Linked DNA regions of Arabidopsis thaliana. The protein of the gene in region 2 interacts with the protein of the main gene of each other region in a pairwise test. Each region holds a gene or a part of one and is shown on either strand. Other genes may lie near its edges.

Region 1 (3,761 bases), on a different chromosome or scaffold from region 2:
GATTAAAGGGACATCTATAAAATTTGACGGCGTCAAGTCAACGTGCAATTAAAAACACCGTCAGAGGTAAAAACGAAGTTAACGGAGATAGATAATATTACACGGCATCCCAGAATAGTTCCACTAATCTAATCCGGGACTCCTCATCTTCTGCCGTCGAATCGGCGATTCCTCCGACGACGACGTCAACACGTCATCATCTTCATCGTCTATCGGAGATGAAAGTGGCGAGGTGGAAAAGATCTCCACCGGAGATAACGGCGGAGACGAATCCGACGATTCAGTCGAAACAGTCAACGGCGGCGACGATTCAGGCGAGATAGTCAACGGAGGTGACGGTGGAGGAAGCGAAGAGTTAACGGAACTAGAATCTTCCGGAAGCTTCCGTTTGTTTCCGTTGGAAAGTTTAACGTCTTTAGTTAAATGACTTCTCAGACGTTTCACGTCGGCGAGTTTCACCGGTTTCAATAAGAAATCTTGAGCACCTTCCTCAAGGCATCTGTTCAAAAATCATTTTTTTTTTTTACAAAATTTTATCAAATCAATCAACAGTTTCTAAAAACTCCAAAATCTGTGAAGAAATCAACAAGAATCACACCTGTCGATTCTGGTCAATACATTCTCCGACGACATGATTACAACCGGAACTTCTCTGAAATTGGACGATTCCTGTTTCAGATGACCGGAAAATTCAACATTGTTACTAAAACAACCGTAATCTGAAACAGGAAAATGGCGGGAAAATGCAGACCTTAATCTTCTTGAGAAGCTCATAACCAGTCATTCCAGGCATACAGTAATCAGTGATGATCAAATCAACTTTCAATCTCTGAAAATATCCATTTAAACTAAATCAAACTCACGAATCGTAATCTTCAAAAAAAACAAAAAGCTGTATCAGATTTCAATAACTTACATCGAATTCAGCAGAAGCTTTCTCATTATCTAACCCTAGAAATTCCAGAGCACGCCATCCACTATCTACCGCCGTAACTGACAAACGATACCACCGGAGATGTAAATATTCCGGCGAGGAATAAAAAAAAGTGAAAGATGTTTTTTTTTTTGAAAAAATACGAACCTTTGCAGGAAGTAATACGAAGCAATCTCTCGATGACAATACGATCAACGAGACTGTCATCAACGGCTAAGACATGAACTTCATCTAAATCCAACGGCGCAGATTCAATTCCTCCGATACCACCGACGCTCATCATCTCCGACCTTCGTAAACAAGAAACACCACCGTCTCTGGCCATAGACGAGCTTATAGTAACTGTGAGGAGAGGATGAGAATAAAATAGAGAGAAGAAGACGAAGAAGAAGAGCTCACATCTGTTTTCTTTTGTTCCTTTCTCTTCCTTAAGACAGTTTTTTATATTTCTGATTTTTTTGTTCTCTAAAATAAATCTTTTATGAGTGTGTCTTTTTGGTTTTTTCAATTTTTATTTTGAAAAATCTCCAGCGAGGAAAATCCAACAAAATCTTTGGTTCCTATTAATGTGAAAATTATATATTTTTATGTGCCGTGCTTTTAGGGTTGAAAAAATTGAACTTTTATCTTTGAAAACAATAGTATTAATAAATAGAGATTTTATGGAAAATCCGGTGGAGGGCCTATGCGAATATCATAGAGAAAATAATATTCCTAAAATCGAATAAATAATAGAGGAGAAGAAATCCGTACAAAGGAATCCAAAAAATAAAAATATACCATCGTGAGATATATACAACTTCTTAGTCAAAATCTCGTCATTACTCATTAGTGTGATTGGAAAAAAAAAACTGAAAATGGAATCACTCACTGTTAAGAATAATAAACCAGAAGATTAAAGAAGCTAATTTTGGTCATACACCATTACAATTCATAGTAGCGTGTTTAAACTTAACCGGCTCGGTTCTTCGGATTGGTCTTATTTGTATTAAGTACTAACCACTAAGACAATTTTATATTGTTCCATGTGATTGGTCAGTTTCTAATTTAAAATTTATGGTTCAAATGCAATTCATAGAATAATATTAAGATCGGGTTTTGTGGGTTGACGAGAAAATTAGTATACGCCTAACTAGTAGTATATCCATCCATATGACTCTAGAAATTTTATGTTATCCAAACACTTTTATTTATATCGTTTTCAAATGGCAAAAAAAAAAAAAAGAAGAAGAGGAAAGTGGACAAATAATAATAAAAAAAAAGGATTTGACGTCCACATTAAAATTTGGATCCGCGGGACCCAGGGAAATCTAAAAGAGGGACCCATAAATATTTTGTTGGGAACAATTTGTATTAATGAAAGGGGGAATTGGACTTTACCTCTCTTCTTCTTTTTTTTCTTTAATCTTCCAAACATAATTTGCTGTTTCACTCTTTTAGACACCACACCGTATCAAATCTTGGAGATCGCTTTTGCTTTCTCTTTCCCACCCATTTATTATATTTTTTTATATAAAATATCATTATTATTTCTTTTTGTTGAAAGGGTAAATGTTTTGATTTTCTATTTTATTTTTAAAAATTTTATGAAAATGTTATGACAATATAGGTGTTTTTAAAAATCTCTTGATAATAAAGAGCTACTATTAAGAAAAAATAGGTATATAAACATGAGAACAATAAATATATATAATGATTCTTTGGCTCTTTATTTTTTCTAGAGAAACAAATTTATTCCAGATTGAATGTAAACTAAAGACGACCAAATCCAATACTATGACATTTTCCTACTTAAAGTTAAAGCTCAAAAGATCAGGTTTCAAGGTTGCTTAGAAGTTATCGATCACAGTCGTGGATGATCAAAGTAGAGTTTTATCAAAAGACTTTTGTTTCTTCTAATTGATAGTGTCTCTAATTTAATCGTTTTTCTACATTAACCAAAAACATCTAACAAAGTAGAAAGAAAAATGACGCGTGAAATAGACAAATCTTACAATGGATATATTGCCCATTTTTATAAAATAATTACGCGAAATTTAAGATTGATTTGAGAATTGATTTTTCAAACGATATGGGCCAACGAATGATGGATCAAATCTTCATGATGTCAACTCAAAATCGAGGGTTGAACAAAAAAATCCATAAAAGTAGTCATCAACGTGTCGCACATAAAATCGTAATCTATCTTTTTTCTAGGAACTTTGGACATCAATTACAAAATTAAAGACATTGACATTTTCCCTTTAATTAATTTTATGTTGGTACTCGATTGAGGTTTGGAGCATCTTTATATTCTAATCATTATTGTAAATATTTTCTACATAGTATAATATATTTGTAGAAATAAAAGTAATTGATTAGTTGACCTAATTATACAATACTCAAAATCATGTACACTTGAATATTTTCATTTTGACGTCTAGATTTTGTTACAGGATCAATGGATCATATAGAAACTCAATTTTAGTCTATACGTACATGGAAATATAGTTGAATCTCAAATCCGAAAATCCAGATTAATGTCAACATAAGCTCATATCTAATCTACAAAGCATTTGTTGGATAACATAGATTGGTCTTTCTCCTTCCTTGGTATCACTCTTATGTTGTCTGAGTTATATCTCCTATCCTATTGATTCTTAGACTTTTTTGTGAGCTAGTAATTATTCTCTTCCAAATTGTGCTCTCTAGCTTTATGTATCAAAAATTTCACCATCAATATGAGGCCATGTTGATCTCGATGAAAACGAAGTTACTCGTTTGTCTTAATTTAAGAAAATTGTGGGCTCTAACACCATATTGCAAAGTTTTTTTTTATTCTTAGTCG
Region 2 (3,761 bases):
GACAATAAGATGTCAAACAAATGCTGAAATGTAATCAAAATTATAGAAACGAATTTCATAAAAAAAAAAAATATATATATATATATAATAATAATAATAATAATAATAATAAGATATGTCAATGCATGCTTAGGTTAACAAATTAACTAAGCAAAACTTAAAAAGAAAAAGATGCTTAGTTTATGTTCAGTACAAAATCTTATCAAGCTCATATATGTAGCAAACAAATGAAGCCTTATATGTATCTATGTATATTAATTGAAATATGGGTCTGTGAAATCGTATCAGTACTGTTATTTTACACGTTAGACATTTGAAGACTCTCATACAAAAAAAGGGTGACACACTTGCCAATATTGTAGTGAAAAGCAGCAAACCACAGAGACTCTGAAAGTACTAAAGACATAAAGAACATTTACTGTCTTGTTAAATCTCAGTCTCAGACTTCACAGTCTCAAGTCTCTCGGTTCTTTGTAATGCAATGATTTATTCATGCATCAGTGAGCAAAGACACGTCCTCTGATTGATTTGAAAACAGTATGTATTTATATATATTTATTTACCGATTTAAGGTGAAAACGTTTTTGTTTTTTTTCGAGGAAATTTAGTGAGCAAACCTATTTTCTTTGGTTTTTACCTTTTGGGTTTACTCGGAATAATGAAGGGAAAAAAGAAGTCGATTTACATGGAAAAGAAAACGAAATTCTTCAAAAAGTAATGCGTATTGAGATATGTTAAAGATTTAGATTAATGAGAGTGTGATTAATTAAGAACCTGCATGTTATTGTATCTGTTGAAGGTTTTGAAGCAAACAGGACATGAGAACTGAGTAGGGCCAATGAGAATCTGAGAAGGTGTAGGGATCCAATATTGACCCTTGTTGAGTCTGCTGATTCTACAGCCGCCGTCTCCGCCGACTGAATCTTCATCGTCATCTTCTCCTCCTCCGACAGCTCCGTGGCTGTACTCATGGTCGAGGTCTTTCTTGTGATTCATGTCCTCGTGATGATGAGTGGTCCTCGAGGAAGAGGAAGAAGAAGACATCATGAGCAAAGAGGCCATCTCTTGAGCACTAGGGCTTGGAAGGCCTATGTGAAGAGCAACGGTGACGTCATGGTCATCGTCATCGAGGTTATGATGATCATCTTGATGGTGATGATCGTAGTCGACATCCATGGAGGTTGAAGGTGGTTCTTGAATAAGGTGGTCATGGTTGTGATGGTGGTCTTGTTGTTTGTTGGCGGGGCTGAGGCTGAGGAGAGGGAGGGCTTCTCGGAGAGGAGGAGAAGGAGGAGGAGTTGGTGGCGGCGGTGGACGGCGGAGGTCTCCGGATTGAGGGAAGAAGAAGAAGGAAGAGGGAGGAGTAACAGGAGGAAGAGGATGAGGAGAGGGGTTAGTGGAGGAATTAGGGTAATGGTGAAAAGGATTAGACTTGAACCAGTCTGTGAAGAAATTGGAATAAGGATCAGTCATGGTGAAGAGAGAGAGAGAGGAAGAGAAAGGAATAGTTTTAAGACTTGTGGGATTATCTTTATACAAGAGACATAGATGGGAGATGAAGATGGAGATGGAGAGATTGTGATGGGATGGGAGAGAGAGAGAGCTTTTTTTTTGGGTTGCAAAGAGAGATTTTCTTTGGGTGCAAGAGAAAAAGAGAGAGAAAGATTATTAATTATGGACTGAAAACTAAAAACTGACTTTAACGAAAAAAAAAAAAAAAAGGAACTAAAGAAGCAGGTCAAATACGAATGTGTATTAGTCTACGCAAAGTAATTATTTCATTCAGATATGTAGGTCCTTATTCTTTATAAAAAAAATAAAACGATGGTTAAGAAATAACCAGTGCGGTTAAGACTGTTTACGATGTTTTGAAGATAACATTTATAGATTAGGCAGTAAGCATTAGAAATTCAGATAGTAGATTTTTTTTTTTTATTGGTGATTTGTTTTTGTTAAGAATATAGAATTAAAATAATTTTTTAATCAATTTAAAAGGTTTTCAAAATCTTATAAGTTGTTATAATTATAAACTACAAATCACGTTCTTTAATTTTCTTACTATTATAAGATGTCTTAATTTTCGGACGACATCATAGTCTCATAATTCGTGTGACTGAGAGTTTCTACGTATGATCATGGTAAGTAAACACAGCGTCTGAACCTGCACATCAGAACTATATAACATATTACTTCATTGTATTTTTAAAAACCGTACAAAGATCTAACTTTGGATCCTTATTCAATTTGTGTATCTCTTATACCTGGATCTTATAAGGAAAAAGAATGCAAAACCATTGAATGATGTGAATAATTGTTGTTCGTATGTTCAAGTCTGAATTCACTTAGTTTATTGTCAGACTATGGTCGTTGAAAAAGAGAGAGTAAAACTATGCTTGAATATGACGATTTTTTCATGGTGATTGTTTTACTAATTAAACGAATTAAAGTAAATCTACAAAAGGGGCTCTAATTATATGTATTATCTAATTTGATTAACATTATCAGATTACGTAAGGCTTAATAGCACAGGAACTTGTATTAACATATTTAAATCATAAAAGTCCTTAAATATTCCACATCTGTGGATTATGTACTTAATTAAAAGCATTAGTGGATGCCATTTCATACAAGTAGGTCAAAATGTAATAAAGATGATAATAATAGACATTGAGGATTAGGGCTCGCTTGAAGAGTATACATACATACGCTAAAATACCAAAGACAATAATCTTATAGCCAATATGACAAAACAAAAAGCTATTCGAGTTCGACCTATATTGGCTCCACGGAAAAATTGGAATTTATTTATTTATATTCACTATGAGTGAAACAGGATTAATATATAAAAAGGAACATATTTGACAAAAAAATAAAATAAAAAAATACATAAAGCATATGAGGTTCAGATACATCATACAAAGATAATGTCACTGCTTTTTGGAGATGGCTCTCATCCCAATTCCCAAACAAATTTTCTTATCTTAAAAGCCTTTCCTCAAAAAAAGAAAAAAAGAAGCCATATCTTATCAGTTTGAGACTTAAAAATAGTTTTGAAACAGGGTAAATTTGAAAAATAATGTAACTGTCTAAATACCGATGGACAAATTAATTAAATAAAATTGTGGCGTCATTCCCGACTCATGAGCTAATTAAAAAAAAATAGCATAAATTAGGACACAATTCTGATTTTACAATTTTTGTGTTTGTAGTTTAGAAAAGAAATAAATATCAGTAAAATCTACTCCTATGACCTAGTTTCAAAAATATATAGACAAGAAGAAGGTTAGATAAATAATATCTTTCTAGGTTTAGAAGGACAATATTTCAAAGTTTGTGAGTAGTTTTGAAGTATTATCCCATATTTATGCTAGGTTAGATTCATTTTAGGATATAGATTCACATATAATGGATTTCTTCCTCATAAAATTTTAACTATAAAATAAACAAAAATAAATAAATTGAAAACACACATATGGGAATTCAATAATTAATAAATTTGGTAATCAAGTACGAGGACCCGAGAGAAAACTGGAATGTATGTATTCGTAAAAGTTTTGGGGGGTTTTGATTTTCTATTATTGACATGAATTATTAATTCGATGAACCAAATTATGTAGTTTTGCTTATGTTAATTGTTTATTTATTTTATGAGTTTTAATATTTATATGAGAAAAAAGGGAAGCAATTGCATTGGTGTGCGCATCAATGGTCGGCTTTCCCTCAAACGGTAAGATCATTGAATGTCCAAATCCCCACCGCAG

Evidence for each region.
Region 1: the proteins of NTT (region 2) and ARR4 interact in a two-hybrid assay, tested with the Arabidopsis thaliana proteins (one large-scale study listed by BioGRID).

The regions. Positions count from the first base shown.
Region 1 is NC_003070.9:3,442,501-3,446,261, forward strand, and holds the start of ARR4 (response regulator 4), read right to left. Parts: upstream 1,861-3,761; 5' UTR 1,260-1,860; coding exon 1,082-1,259; intron 994-1,081; coding exon 917-993; intron 830-916; coding exon 752-829; coding exon of another isoform or gene 670-751; coding exon 599-669; intron 500-598; coding exon 124-499; 3' UTR 1-123.
Region 2 is NC_003074.8:21,368,648-21,372,408, reverse strand, and holds the start of NTT (C2H2-type zinc finger family protein), read right to left. Parts: upstream 1,653-3,761; 5' UTR 1,474-1,652; coding exon 775-1,473; intron 1-774. UniProt on the Arabidopsis thaliana protein: Transcriptional regulator required for normal differentiation of the ovary transmitting tract cells and pollen tube growth. In Arabidopsis, the transmitting tract facilitates the transport of pollen tubes to the ovules for fertilization.